2 linked regions of the Rhinolophus ferrumequinum genome follow. The protein of the gene in region 1 binds, or shares a complex with, the protein of each later gene. Links are inferred from orthologs where the notes say so. Each region holds a gene or a part of one and is shown on either strand. Other genes may lie near its edges.

Region 1 (8,152 bases):
GGGACAAGAAAGCCTCAAGTTCAATGGACTCCCAACTAAAATAAAGTCTACTTTAAAAGCATACTATACAAAGGACAAATATTATATGTTTCCACTTACATGAGATATCTGGAATACTCAAAATCATAGTGATAGAAAGAATACTGGTTACCAGGGGCTGGGAAGAGGGATAAACAGAGAGATAGTGTTTAATGGGTACAGAGTTTCAATCTGAGATGATGTAAAAGTTCTAGAAATGGATGGTGGTGATGGTTTCACAACTATGGGAATGTACTTAGTTCCACTGAACTCTACAACTAAAAATGGTTCAAATGGTTAAGCTGCATGTATTTTGCCACAATTAAAACCAAAAAAAAGCACACAATACAGCAAGGGCTTCTTGGTCTGAAATTCATTGCTCACTAGGTAAAATGCAAAATATTAGCATTTATATTAATTTTTCATTTATGATTAACACTACCACTTAATTAAGTTTGTTTGTCACTAATTCTTTTTAAAATATGGACTTTTAAAAAACATAAATAGTATATCTTTATCTTATTCATATACTTCATTTAATTTTTTTCTAAAATTAAGGAATAATACACTTATAGGGTTAAAAAGTTCAAAGCAATATAAAAAGATATGTGCTGAAAAATCTCATTCCCCTCCCTGTCCTAATGTACTGTTCTTGCTCTCAATAGGCAACCATTTTTTAATGCTTATTTATCCTAGTGTTTCATTTTGCAAATATTAGCAAACATGAATATATATTACTTTTTTTCTTTCTATCACAAAAGATTGCTACACATTACATTTGTTTTTCCATAACAGGGCACCAAAAGGTTCCTTATTCTTTTTACAGTTAGTTGCATAGTATTCAACTTGGTGTCTTTGCCAGAGTTGATTTAACCATTCTGCTAATACTGGACTGTTTTCAATCTTTTGCTGGTAAATAAACAATGCTGCAAAAAGTAACCTGTATATATGTCACTTGATATTAATACACAGATTATGGGTGGAATTCCCAGAAGTAGGACTGCTGGGTCTAAGGGTAAATAAATACATCTGTAATATTGATAAATAATTGTCAGGTTCCCTTCTATGGGGGTTGTGCCATTCACTTTTACATTTTTGCCATATACTGTAGTAGCTCAGTGTCACTTTAATTTGTTTTTTCCCCCACTTATTGAGAATCTTTTCATATTTTCAAGAAGCATCTGTTTTCTTTTTCTCTGATCCTCCGTATGTTCTGCCCATTTTCAACTGAATTTTTATCTTTTTCGAGTTCTTTATATATTAGGGAGATTAGCCCTCTGTCTGCAATATGAATTGCAAATCTTTTTTCTAAGTTTGTCATTTGTATTTTGACTTTGCTTATAGTTTTTATTTGGCCATGCAGAACTTTTTTAAATTTATAATCTTATTAATCTTTTCTTTCATATTTCCTAGACTAAGTCATAATAAAAAATGGCTGTCCATTCCAAGAGTAAAGAAACTCATCCATCTTTTCTTCTAGAATTTGTATGGTTTAATTTTTTAATATTTAAAATTCCAATCCATTTGAAGTTTATCCCGGTGTATACAGTATCATACTTGAATACAACTTTTTTTTTAATGGCTACCTAGTTTTCCTAACAACATTCATTAAAAAGTTCATTTTTACCTGGGTCTTTTAATTACTATATTAAATATTTTCTTATAATTTCCTGTACATCTTTCCTTACATTTTCTTGTACCATCCTTACCCTCAGCCTCCACCTATCCTAAATTCAACTAAAATCCCATCTTTCCTAAAGATTGAAGTTTTCTCTTTTTTATTTTTTAAAACACTGATTAAATAAGTAATATTACATAAGAGACTAAAAACTGAAATTTCAAATAAGGATGGTACAAAAAAGGAAGATTAAATATACTCAATTCTATTTGATAATCTTTATTCTTTTTACATTCATTTTCAAACCTCTAACAACTGCAGAGCAAGTGTAAGGCTTAAAACATTAAATGTTTGTAATAAAGGAAAAAAATCCAAAAGTCTTAAAGTCCATCCATAGAGGACCAAATAAACAAATTGTGATTCATCCACACAGGGGTATATGAAACAAAACTTAGGAAGAATGAGTTACATTCAGATGTAATAATCTGAAATTGCTATCTGAGGGACTTTGTAAACAGGATCAAAGGTGGGGCACTGTCCTATTTTATGGGGGAAAATGTCTGGGAATACATAGAAAAATCCTGGAAGAACAGAAAGTATTAAGTCGTTGCCTCTCTCTGGAGACTGGGATGTGGCGTGGGTGAGGACAGGTGGAGGGAAAAGGAATTTTACTTTGCATTTTATATACTTTTGAAGTGTGACAAAACTTAAATACTATCACATGTAACTTTTATAGTTAGAATAAACCTAAATTTAATGCTAAATTAATGCTAATACATAAACATTAAAAAAAAGGATCAATGAGAGAAAAGAACACAATGATCATGCCCAGAAGTTACCTGAACAATGGTGAATCCAGATCTGAGAATAATATCTTGTATCTCCTCCTCTTTGTCAACAATATCTGGTTTGATAATGGCCAGAGATTTTTCTACGTATATCTGAGGTGGGGGCATCGACAGCTCCATTGTGGGTTTTCAGGATATAATTTAAGAGTCTTGACAGGTATCAACTGCAATGATATGCAATCCCAACCTCAAATTTAATGTAATTATGATTAAGAACAGCATTGTTAGGCGCCTGATTTTATTAATTTATATAAACTTAGAAACTGCAATCTTTTTCTATAAGCAGTGTCTGAACACAGGCATACCTCGAAGACATTGCAGGTTGTCTTCGATCGCAGTAAAGCGAGTCGTTCTCTATTTGATGGTGGAGAGTCTTGCCTTCAGTTTGTAAAACACCCAATACCTGTGAATCGCCTAAAGCGCAATAAAATGAGGTATGACTGTAATACGATTTCTACTCTGCAGTTAAGCCGTGCCTTAGGCTTTCCTAAACATTTTCATCAAGGTGGAGAGGCCACAGGGCAATCCAAAGGCCTGGGACTCGCGCAGACTAAGGCAGCAGCTGGAGACCGGTTGGCAACTCTCCGCGATTCTCCAGCTGCAGGTTGAGCAGCCTCGCCCCACCCCGCCCCGCCTCGCCGGGACGGCTATGCATAGGGTCAGGTCTGGTTGGAAAGTAGCATCCCTAAGTCCCCGGACTTCTCCCGGCTGCACCCGCAGATTCCGAGTCCGACCTTCCGTCGTGTACTCACCTCAGCACTCACTCCTCAGGTGCGACCACAACTTATTGCTAGGAGACCCGAAGCCCAGCTGAGGGACGGTGGCTGCAGAGGGCCAATCCGAGCAGCGTCACTTCACAGCCTCTTACCGGTTCAATCATGAAAGGGAGCCAGCCACAGGTAGTTTTATCCCCCTTAAGAATCTTAGAGCACTAGGCGTTTTCTTACATTTTCCTCATAATTCATCCTATTTCACCCTCCTACTCATTTTAAGGCTGCTTCAATTATCTCCATTTTATAAACGATGAGACAAATCATAATCACCCCCTCCTCACCCCACCCCATCACTTTCCAGACAATGTAAGAAAACCCACGTCAAATAGCTTCATTTCACCAGATGATGCTATCCCCTCTATTCCCAGCTTCTGTAATCATTAAAAAGCAGTCTTCAACTTGTGGTATAACATTTATTTATAGAGCAGTAATAAGCGGTTTAAACTAGTTACCTCTAAATTAAGCCTATGGAACAAGATACGGGCAACATTTATGGTATAACCCCAAATCACAGCTTGCCCCTTTTCCCTTATATTTTGTCCACAGGTACCTTTGGTTGTGAGTTAAGGCCTTATTATTAGAAAAGACAACAGGGAAATGATAGACAAGTGCTGGGACCTTCTCTGGGTCAGAGTCTCAATGAGAGGTCCAAATTTCAGAAAGGGTCAGGGTAGCAGCTCCAGGTTAACCAAACAGGTTTTCCATCACGCACTGGGTTGGCTGATTCTCATTCTGGACTATTTAAGTCTCTTCTTTTGACTAACCAAGTACTCAGCACCTATAGGGTCAAGGCAGAAGCAAACTATGAGGCTTAAAAGCTACAGAGGTTTGAATGCAATTTTATTTTTCTGCAATGAGATCTGACTACGTTTTTTCCTTAAAAATATGATGCTACCCAGAAAAGAAACCTTCAGATGTTTTCTGATTACTGTGTCTTATCCCCGTATCGATGGGACAGTGTGAACATACATTAATATCAACAGGTGTAGCAACCAAAAAATGGACAGTGACTCCAGCCTCTGGTTTGCATGTTTAGCACTCTGGCTTGAGGCTCTGGAAGCAGGAGCTCCCATTACCATTACAGCCCTCTTCAGAGCTCTTCAGCTGCCTGCCTTCCTAGACTACTTTGCTTCACTATTAAGGCTGGTCCTACTGAGGCTCCAGGTTTTCCAAACCAGTACGTACAAGGTCAGTCCTTCAGGGCCTTGAATCACCTCTAAATATAAAATCTGGAAACACTTCAACATCACCCTTATTCTCACTTTCTAAATCAGGTTCCAGAGATTACACTCCTTTTTCAGGCAACTCTCTACATACAGTACCTGAATCTGCTCCAAGACTTCTCGCTGCATCTCCACAGCCATATGGTACACATGATGATCAGAGTCATTGTACATCACAGCATTTTGGAACATCAGCATCAGGTCCCGCTGGAACTGTGCCATGGTGCGAATCCGTCCCTTAGACAGATTCCTTTTCAGGGTCGTTAAGTCCATGGGTCTACAGGTGGCCAAGAGAAACCAGAGGAAATCAAACCTTCATGTAGAACATGTGGTAACCTAATATGCTGTCTTGGAGAACTAGCTCTTAATGAAAACAATCCCCAACAGTTAATATAAAAAGCAACAGCTTTTTTAAAAAAATATCATTGGACTGCTACTACTTACAATAGGCCAAGCACTATGTTAGGTAACTTTCTATATTAACTCCCATAAACCTCCCAATTAACCCATAAAACAGGTACCATTATTATCACCAATTGGCAGTGAGGGAACCGAGATCTAAAGAGGGTAAGTACTTGCTCAAGGTCACACAGCTTGGATTCCAATTCAAAGGCAGCCTGACTCCAAAATCCACAGGCCCAGCCATTGCATTCTACTACTGCAGGAGTAGTGGTGACCCCAGGTACTAAATTTGTAAAGAACTCCAACGATCAGTTTGTCATATGGTAGTTAACAACTGTTTACAATGTATAGCCATATACTAGGCATTAACATACTTCTCTTATTGCATAATCAAAAGCTAATAAGTTTTTTCTCCTTTCATGGAGATGAAGAGTGAGAATCAAGCAAATATTAAGACAATTTTTTTTTTTAAGATTTTATTGGGGAAGGGGAACAGGACTTTATTGGGGAACAGTGTGTACTTCCAGGACTTTTTTCCAAATCCAGTTGTTGTCCTTTCAATCTTAGTTGTGGAGGGTGCCGTTCAGCTTCAAGTTGTTGTCCTTTCAGACTTAGTTGTGGAGGGCGCAGCTCAGCCCCAGGTCCAGTTGCCGTTTCTAGTTGCAGGGGGCACAGCCCACCATCCCTTGGGGGAGTCGAACCGGCAACTTTGTGGTTGAGAGGAAGAGCTCCAACCAACTGAGCCATCTGGGAGCTCAGCAGCAGCTCACAGCTCAAGGTGCTGTGTTCAATTTTAGTTGCAGGGGGCGCTGACCACCATTCCTTGCGGAAGTTGAGGAATCAAACTGCCAACCTTGTGGTTGAGAGGATGCGCTCCAACTGAGCCATCCGGGAGGCAGCTCAGCTCAAGGTGCCATGTTCAATCTTAGTTGCAGGGGGCGCTGCCCACCATCCCTTGCGGGAATCGAGGAATTGAACTGGCAACCTTGTGGTTGAGAGCCCACTGGCCCATGTGGGAATCGAACCGGCAGCCTTCGGCGTTAGGAGCATGGAGCTCTAACCGCCTGAGCCACCGGGCCAGCCCTTAGTTTTTTCCTAAGTAGCAGGCAATTTCTTTTATTTTTTTTCAAGGAGGGCACAACTCACAGTGACCCATGCAGGGATCGAACCAGCAACCTCGGTGCAACCAGCACCACGCTCTAACTAACTGAGCTACCTAGCCACTCCAAGACAAATTATTAATGAGACCCAGACAGTGGGTATATAAGGGAAGGCACAGCAGTGTAGAAAGAGAACTGAATGGGGAGGTAAGAATCTGGGGGTCAGTTCCAGCTCTGCTAGGCACTGTTATCACAGACAAGTCATCATCACCTCTGAGCTTTAGTTTCCTCGTCTATAGAACAAGTCTGTCTCCAAACGTCTTTTCCTGACCTTTTATACAGTAACACACTGGTTTGTGACAGTATTTTAGATGAAATATGCTATAAAAATAAAAAATACTGCAATCAACCAATGTTGGTCACATCATTTGGATTATCATCTTTGCCTTAGCATATGAGTACCTATAACGACCAGAATGAATACAGCGTTCCTTTTAAAGTTTTGCTCCAAAAAACAGTGTCAAAAACTACCAAAGGCTAAGATTATAATGGATCACATTACTTAAAAATCAACACTGGGAAAAAAAGAGCCTGCATTATCCTTGTGTTCCCTGCATTCCTTCTCAAAAGCAGACTGAACACACCATAACTTTGCAAACTTGTTCAGCTGTAAAATACATCTTGAGTTTGTAAGTAATGTAAATGAAATAAGAAATAATCTAATATATGGGAAATAAAGTACAAAAAGACAGATATAAAAGCAAGAAGCCTTTCTTGACCCCTTTTCCACTGACCTTTTCACCACATCCTTGTATCCTGGGGCCTGCCTTTCTGACACAGGCTTCAGAAATGGACCACTGAACCTGTTAGGGGACAAACCCAGAATGTAAGAAGAAACCCTGGAAAGTCACTCTGAATAAGAAGAGTGGCTGTGAACACGAAGAATGGCTTGGAGACCTACCTGTGACTGGCAATCATCTTCCAGACTGACAGGACAGTCTTCTTAAATAGCAAGTGATCCTGAACAGGATCGCTCTGGCTTAAATCAGACCTATGGGATAACACGACAGAAAAGAAACAGTAACTTCGCAAAGGGCATTCTGCCTCCCCCAGGTGGACATGAGGCTTTCTCAAGACACACTGCTCCTAATTAACATCTGAAGGAAATGTAATACCGTAAGAATATGAAGATATTTAATGCTTCCATAAGGGACCCCAAACTCTATAAGTGTTCTCTTACTGATCACTATAACCCAATGAAGTGGTTACCTTTTATAAAATGTATTACAAATCTACAATTGCCTGGGCCTTTTGATCTCTTGCTGATTTTGCTCTTCAGCACCTGTGACTCTAAAGAACTGGTCTATGAAAGTAGTCTTTGTTCACTGATGTTTCCCAACTGCCTGGCACATAGTAGAAGCTCAATTAAGTTTTTGATAAATGAATCTGGTCCTGTTTTATGCAGAAATATGCCACATTAATAAGTATCTCTCTCACCCATATTTCCAGAGAAGGAAATATTTGATTACAGATTCCAAGGAATTCTCTTACGTTTCATCTGAATGCCACACAATTAAATATTTTTCCTTTTCGTTCTCCTCTGTATAGTAATCTTTAAAACACCTAAGTCATTTATCTTCATGGCACTTCCTTCTCTGGGCTAAACTGTCGAATTTAGTTCGTTTTTCTTCAGACATGCAATTGTTCAATATTTTATTTCATTTTGTAATTTTCCCAGTTGGCAAGTTTTCTATTTACTTCAAAGTTAAACATGAGGTTACACTTCCCACTTTATCCACTGTACTATTTTTTCTAAATGAGTTCTCTTCACACCTAAGGTTTCACATCCTCATTTTGCTTTATGTACCATATTGTGCATATCGATCTGAGCATAACTCACATATCATTTTATCTTTCTGCAATTTGAGCAGCTCCACATAACTATTCATTTTCACCATGCAATATCTCACCTGCATCTAAATTATATACCACAAAGATCAACTTTTCCTTCAACACAGAACCCTATCAGAACAAGAAACTTAAAGCGCCCCCCAAAACCTCTTCATTTCTGATTAGTCAACCAGAATGAACAATAACTCCTTGGTACTGGTGCAATTTAATTCACACATCCACGCAACAGATATTTAATAAGTTTCCATTTAAGAAAGAA
Region 2 (7,872 bases), on another chromosome or scaffold:
CCTTACGGAATCTAGACTCCTCTGGATATATATACTGAGTACAGTATATGCACAGTGAGTACCTAGCATGTCAGGTATGAGCAATTATAGGGGGTAGAATGTCAGTGTGAATCTAGACCTCTCCCTGGACAAACGCACCTAACATTCTGCTGAAAATTTTAAACACAATGACTAGAGGGTATTATGATAAGTTGAAAAAAGTCAGATAGAAAGACAAAAACCATATGGTTTTATTTATATGTGGAATCTACAAACAAAACAAAACGAAAACAGACTCATAAAGAGATCAAACTGATGGTTGCCAGAAGGGAGGGGAGTGGGGGGATGGGTGAAAAAGGTGAAAGGAAACATAGTCAATAATACTGTGATAACTTTGTACGGTGACAAATGAGTACTAGACTTAGTGTGGTGATCACATTATAAGGTATATAAATGTTGAGTCACTACATCATACACCTGAAATTATAATATCGTATCCCAACTATGCTTCAATTTTTAAAAAATGACCTCATGAGATTCACCTGTAGACCCCAATACTGCTCTCTCTCATGCTATGGTGGTGAAGAGTACAAAATGGTATAATCTCTATGGAGAGGAATTACACAATACCTAGAAAATGACATCAATTTTGACCCATCAGTCTCACTTCTAGGATCCCTTCTTGCAAAAATCTGAAGTAGCCATACTGAAATACCACCCAAATGTTCATCATGAAGGGATTGATGAGGTACAGCAACACAATGGATAACTGTGAAGATATAAAAGAGAATGAGGAAGATCTCTAAAAGTAAAGAGTGATCTCTAGGACATAGTATGAAGGGGGAAAAAAGCAAGGTGCAAAAACTGTATATAGTATGCCATCCTTTGTACTAGCAACAGCAGTGGGGAAAGGAATATGTATGTACGAAGTCGGACAATTAAGTTCACAAACTCATCCTAGAAAAAGTGCTCTCATTGCTGAATATCACTACGGTCACCTTCGAAGTACTCCCCTTGGAAAGCTATGCACTGACACTAGAGCCTAGATCACCCTTCAAAGCAATTTTGGAACTGTTTTTCTGGAATGGCCATCAGAGCTGTTGTCCTATTACCCTTGATGTCGTGAATGTCATCAAAATGTCTTCCTTTCAATATTTCCTTTATCTTTGGGTAAAGAAAGAAGTCACTGGGGGCCAGATCAGGTGAGTAGGGAGGGTGTTCCAATACAGTTATTTGTTTACTGGCTGAAAGCTCCCTCACAGACAGTTCCGTGTGAGGTGGTACATTGTCGTGATGCAAGTATTGTTGGAGAAAAGTTCAGGTCGTTTTCGTCTTTTTCATGCAGCCTTTTCAGCACTTCCAAATTGTAAACTTGGTTAACCGTTTGTCCAGTTGGTACAAATTCATAATGAATAATCCCTCCGATATCAAAAAAGGTTAGTTTAGCAACATCATTGCAACAAGTTCGAGAATTTAATTGCCCAACCTCGTATGTGTGTATAGATAAATGGAATCATAAAAACCAAAACTCTAAAAACTGGAAAAAACAAACCTGATTCCCTAACAAGCTGGAGTTGTTGTCTTAACCACACAGAGAAAAGAATTATTACAACTGTGGTTGGAACACAATATCTTCACTGTATTTCTTCAATGGGATATACTCTAACGACAAAAATACCTACATTGATATCTGTCAATGTAAGATAAAAAAGGCTATCTTATTGCTCCTGTTGCTCCTCCAGAAAGATAATGCATGGGAAGAGGACCGTGGTCCCTAAGAGGAAAACCTCTGGCCTGACGGTAGGGCCTCACCCAGGGTTCGTCTCAGATCTATGGACCCTGCATGGTATTATCAGGGGGACCCAGTAGAGGGCTCATTACCTCGGTTGGCATGTTTCCTGTCCATGAAATGGTGATAATACCCATCTCACGAAGGTGTTGTAAGCAATGTTTTTTTTTTTTTTTTCATTTAAGAAAGCCCCCCTTCCCACAGAAACAACTGCCTCAAGCATGGATAAGTTGTTACAAGAAACAGAGAGAGGTCCCTCACCCATGCCTGGGAGAAAGCCAGCCAGCGTAGTAGGGAAGTGGTGGCGATCCAGACAAGGCGGCCAAATTCAGCAAATAAAAATACAGTATGCCCAGTTAAATTTGAATTTCAGATAAACAACTAACGACTTTGTATTATACTATACTTATACTACAAACTTATGCCTTATTTCTCTGAAATGCAAATTTAACTGGGCGTCCCGTATTTTATGTGGCAATCCTCCATTCGGGGCGGGCGCTTGGGTTCCCTTTCCCACCCGCGGTCGGCCGACGGGTGCACGCCGCCCTGCACGCCGCCCTGCACGCCGCCCTGCTCGCCGCCCTGCACGCCGCCCTGCACGCCGCCCTGCTCGCCGCCCTGCACGCCGCCCTGCACGCCGCCCTGCTCGCCGCCCTGCACGCCGCCCTGCACGCCGCCCTGCTCGCCGCCCTGCACGCCGCCCTGCACGCCGCCCTCCACGCCGCCCTGCTCGCCGCCCTGCACGCCGCCCTCCACGCCGCCCTGCTCGCCGCCCTGCACGCCGCCCTCCACGCCGCCCTGCACGCCGCCCTGCACGCCGCCCTGCACGCCGCCCTGCACGCCGCCCTCCACGCCGCCCTGCTCGCCGCCCTCCACGCCGCCCTCCACGCCTCCCTGCTCGCCGCCCTGCACGCCGCCCTGCACGCCGCCCTGCTCGCCGCCCTGCTCGCCGCCCTGCACGCCGCCCTGCTCGCCGCCCTGCTCGCCGCCCTGCACGCCGCCCACCGCGGAGGAGGAGGGAGACCGCCCCAGACGCGCCTGCGGAGCCCCCGGCGCTGAACTAACCCTCGCTGGGCTCGGGGAGCCTGGGCACCGCCTGCGCCCTACACCACGCCAAGGTCCCACGGCCCAAACCGCCTGCGCAGCCAGACCCCAGCCAACCCCTAAGACCCGGTCTCCCAAAGGGCGCCTGCGCTGTCACACGCACGCCTGGCGCACGCGCCTACCCTCAACCGGCGAGTCGTGTCCCGTCGCTAGGCAGCGAGCGCGCTTGCCTGGGGTGGGAATGAGGCGCTCGGCAAAGACAAACGCGAGCACGGGCTGGTGACCTGAGAGTGGAGGGTCGGGACGTGGGGGACGCGCAGCAGAGAGGAGGGGGCTCGAGCGCGGGTGAGCTGAGGAGCGCGGGAGCGAGGGCGAGAACGCGCGGCGGATACGAGTGGGTGCCAGGATAGGTGAGTAGAGACTTGCAACTATGAGGCTATAAGGAGGGGCCTTGAAAACAGGAGTGGAGCGGGACAGGTGGGCGCGCGCTCCCTGGGAGAGATAAGCGGGCGGCGGGGTCGCGGAGAGGAGACGCAAAGGGCTCTGTCTGTGAATGGGGGGAGACCCCTCCACAACCCCCCGGGGCCAGCGGAGACAATCACTGCAAGTTCTGTGGCCCGGTATTTTCACGACTTCACACCTTTGCACTTGCTGGTAACTTCTGCTTGGTGGCTTTTAGAACCAGCTCAGGTGCCCTCACCTCCGGGAAGCCATCCAACCTCTGCCAGGTCAGAGCCATTGCAGTTTTCCCTGGCCTGGTCTTGTGCCCAATACTCTGCTAGTATATCCCGGGAGTGTTCTGTTTTAATTCACGTGCCGGGCAGGCAGTACTGGACGGGAGATGCCTCACTGAACGCTGGAAGTGCCAGAGTGGGCACTGACTGAAGGGACCATGAGCTTGTGTGGGGACAGAGCCAGGAGTGCAGTTTCCAGGCTCTCCGCGTCACGTGGAAAGGTGCTGGCTCAGCTAGCAAATGGCCATCAACTGCGATTGGATGGCCATCAGCTGTGGCTAGTTGGCCGTCAGCTGTAACCAGTGAGCCATTGGCCACTAATATAACTGCTGTGGCTACGCTAGCAGCAAATGGAGGCTAGCAAGAGGATGGTGGCTGAGCTAGTCAGAGTGGATTGCAGTTAGCACGGTGGAGTGCAGCTAGCAAGTGGGGTTGGTTGGTTGACAGAGAAGCGGACAGCAGGTTGCAGGTCGTGTGGATCCTGTTTCCTGTGTCTCCAACCCAGCCACCAGCGAGAATATAATGGTATGACTCCCCTATCTATGGCTCTGTGGGTGTTCCTTTTTGGCCTCACCATTTCCTGTGTTCTTATGTGGGGAGCAGGACCAGAGACTCCGCCTGACACCCTGCATGACAGCTTGTCTGGGTGGGCTCACAAGCATCAGAGCCCTGGCAGATGAAGAAGTATTTACTGAGCACACACTGTGTGCCTAGCACTGGGAATAGAGTGTGAACAAAGATACTCTCCATGCTTATTGCTCTGCCTACTGTGTGCAAGGCCATGGGCAAGGGGACCCTTCAGACCCTCTGAAGAGCTCTGGGAGACTCCAAAATATAGCCCCCTCCCGCTTGGTGAGTGTGCCCGGAGTTGGTCGGGAGTGGGCTGTAAAAGTCCCCTTTGCCCCCTCCCTCTCCAGGCCTTACATTGTGGCACTGTTATTGTGGCTCTGCTGTCTTTGCATCAAGTCTTAGTAACTGTCAGATCAACATATTTCATTGAGACCATTGTTGAAAATGTGCAATTTGGAGCAGATGCTTCCTCCAGAAAGGGTGACAGCCACCCAAGGACTGGAAGTAGAGAGGCTTCCTGGGAATGCAAAATTGATAATTCGACTCTCTGGGAAGGGCAGTTCTACAATGATAAAGGCAAAGTAGACTTGTGACTTCGAATCACCTGGGGATTTTGTTAAACTGTAGACTGAATCATTAGGCCTGGTATGGACCTTGAAAATCTGCATTTCAGCAAGCCCCCAGGTGATGCAAGCCCCCAGGGGATGTAGAAGGTAGTTTATCCAAGTGCATTGGTTCAGGTGGACCACAGATTAGCAGAAAGAGACAACATATACCCCTGTCTCCAACTTCACCACTATCCCTGTGGGAGAGGAGGAAACTTTCCTCTACGCTCAGGGTTTTTTCAGCTGGTCTAATAATCAATTAGAGATGAGACAGATGAAGAGATTTTCAGTAATTAGAAGTTTTCCCTGCCCTACCGATTGGTCAAAAAATGTTATCTCTGATAATCTCTTATTATGGGCAAGGCCCCTAATTCAAGTTCTAGGTAGTTAAGTGGGAAGGGCAGAAGTTTCTCTTGAGCCCACAGGTTGCCTTCAGCTCAAAACAATCTGCGTGCCATAGAGGCACATCTTGGGGTGACTCATTCTGAATCCCTATACCCCAAACTTAGTGACTTCAAGTACACGTTTATTCTTTTAAAGTTTTTGAAGTCAGAAATCTAAAATGAGTCTTACAGCGCTAAAACCAAGTATTGGCAGGGCTCGTTCCTTCTAGAAGCTCTAGAGGAGAATCCATTTCCTCGCCTTTTCCAGCTTCTAGAGGCTACCTACATTCCTTGGCTCATGGCTCCGAATCACATCACCTTTTCTCCCTCTGTTCTGTCATCACATCTCCTTCTCTGTCTGATCTTACTGTGTCCCTCTTATAAAGACCCTTGTCATTACATTGGGCCTGCCTGGATAATTCAGATAATCTCCCTAAATCAAAATTCTTAATTGAATCACATCTGCGAAGTCCTTCCATATAGGGTAACATACATTACAAGTTCCAGGTATTAGGACTTAGACACTTTTGTGAGCCATTTTTCATCCCTGTTATACTGTGTATTTCCTTAAATGAAGGACATTTTCTTACTCATATTTCAATTACCAAAACCAGGAAATTTGACTTTGATTTAATTCTATTATGTGGTCTACAATTCATGTTCAGTTTATCCAATTTTCCTAACACTGTCCATTATGGAATTTTCTTTTTTTTTCCTGGTCCAGATCCAATCAAGGATCATGTATTGCATGCCTATTTAGGCTCCTTTAATCTGGAATGGCTCCTCCTCTTGTCTTTCATGACCTTGGCATTTTTAAGAGTACAGGTCAGTTGTATACTGTCTCTCAATTTGACTTTATTTGATGTTTCCTCAATCAGATTCAAGTTTTGCATTGGGGGCAGGAATCCACAGAAGTGTATTATGTCCCACTAAGAAGTGTATCACATCAGGAGACACACTATGTCACTTTGCCCCTTATTGGGGATGTTTACTTTGATCCTCTGGTTAAAGTTGTGGTGACCAGGTTCTATCACTGTAAAGTTTCTGTATTTCCCTTGGAAAGTAATACATAATTTGTAGGGGAGAAACTTCGAGATTATATAAATATCCTATCCCTTGTCAAATGTTGTCTGAGTTTTAGTCTTCACAGATAATTCTGGCTTGATTCAGTTATACTATGGTGGTTACAGTATGGTGATTTTTTAAAAAAAAACTCCATTATTCTTTCCACATTTATTAGTTGGCATTCTACTTTAAGAAAGAACTTACTGTATATCACATTACGAAATTATTTATTCTTATGTGGATTCATGAATTCTTATTTTACTCCAAGGAGTCCTGATTTCTCTTTTAAGTGGTGACAGCTATTTAAGGAGAAGTTCTGAATGCTTAGTGTGCTTGCTGCTTACTGAGGTGTTTTTGCTTCTAGGACTTTGCGATGGGAAGAGCTAGGAAATATATATATTTTTCTATACTCATATCTATCTATCAATCATCTATCTATCTAGCTTTCCTTCTTTAAACTGAAAAATGCCTCCGGAAAATGTTGATTGTGTCGTGGCGTGTAATTAACCCCTGGGCATTCACAAAACGTGAAAGCATTCACAGACTCTACTACAAAGGAAGTTTTTATTGAAGTTAGGGCACAGAGAGAATGCCCATGGCAGTGTCCAAAAATGATTGCTGCCACAGGTTGTCAGAAGAGAAACACCAGCGTGGTGGCGGTGGAGGTGGGGTGTGTGTCATGGGGCAGAGTCTAGAATCTGAGAGTGGGCAGCTGCTCCTAACTTCAGGTTAGCTTTTTCTTATATAGGAAAGGGGAAGTCGGTTAGGCAGGTTCGAGGGCTGACATCCTTCCTGGGGTCTGGTCTGTTTGAAGACAATGTTATCTCCGGACTGGGACGCGGCCATCGAGGCCTGGGACTTGAATGCGTCACCAGTAAAAACTGCGAGGGAGTTGTCAATTGGATTCCGGTGTCCGGGCACCTGAGGATTAAGAAATTGCCCTTTCCAGGTTGGGATTCTGTTGATTAAATGGATTAAGGAGGTATGGGTAGCCTTGAGAAAGGGAACAATCAGAGTTCTTCAGCTAATCAGTGAGGGGAGAAACAAGGAGAAAACAGCTGAATATCAGGATGGATCAAACTGCAAACAAAGTAAGTGTAATTACAGGTGGCTGGATAGTGAGCTATGCGGTAAGTTAAACTGCAAACTAGCTAAGTTTAACTACATTATTGATTCCCTAAATTTCACCCTTACAGATTGGATCTGAGACTTAATTAGTCACTTTATCATTAGCTCTTTTGGAGGTAAGATATGTAAACTTCAGGAACATGGGGTTGGTGAGGAATAGGCCAGATTTTAGGGCATTTCATATCACAATATTCCACTGTAATAGCTAATATTTATTAAGCACTTACTATATGCCAGGCTAAGTGCTTTAGATGCATTTATTATTTCCTTTAATCCTCATAATTACGAGGCACATACTTTCGTTCTTCTGTTCTCCAGATGAGAAAACCAAGGCTCACAGGAGCTGGTGACTTGCTGAAGATCACACAGCTAATTAAATGGCAGAAGCAGGAACTTGGTCTGTCTGATCCCAGAGTCTGTATTCATACTGCTGCACTACACTGCCTCTCCTCACTGTGGTCTAACGCAGGCTACACTGCCTCCAGCTCTTGAAATCTGAATAATAGTGAATCAGCTCAACCTAAAGTAGTTCCTTGCTTAAGCAGTAGAGTAGAATATGGTGTTTAGTGCTGGCA

Evidence for each region. Proteins that work in one complex are often made in the same cells at the same time.
Region 2: NME5 (region 1) and DYDC1 share a complex: the UniProt entries of both Homo sapiens proteins name them as parts of the axonemal radial spoke complex. The link is inferred for Rhinolophus ferrumequinum from reciprocal best matches to the Homo sapiens genes NME5 and DYDC1.

Annotation. Positions count from the first base shown.
Region 1 is NC_046307.1:13,295,056-13,303,207, forward strand, and holds the start of NME5 (nucleoside diphosphate kinase homolog 5), read right to left. Parts: upstream 3,294-8,152; 5' UTR 3,237-3,293; intron 3,230-3,236; exon of another isoform or gene 2,790-3,229; intron 2,649-2,789; 5' UTR 2,605-2,648; coding exon 2,476-2,604; intron 109-2,475; coding exon 100-108; intron 1-99. Other genes in the region: bromodomain-containing protein 8-like, read right to left, coding at 3,985-4,035, 4,580-4,757, 6,777-6,845, 6,944-7,033. UniProt on the Homo sapiens protein: Functions as part of axonemal radial spoke complexes that play an important part in the motility of sperm and cilia. Does not seem to have nucleoside diphosphate kinase (NDPK) activity.
Region 2 is NC_046299.1:56,289,380-56,297,251, forward strand, and holds the start of DYDC1 (DPY30 domain-containing protein 1), read right to left. Parts: upstream 3,217-7,872; 5' UTR 2,834-3,216; intron 1-2,833. UniProt on the Homo sapiens protein: Functions as part of axonemal radial spoke complexes that play an important part in the motility of sperm and cilia. Plays a crucial role during acrosome biogenesis.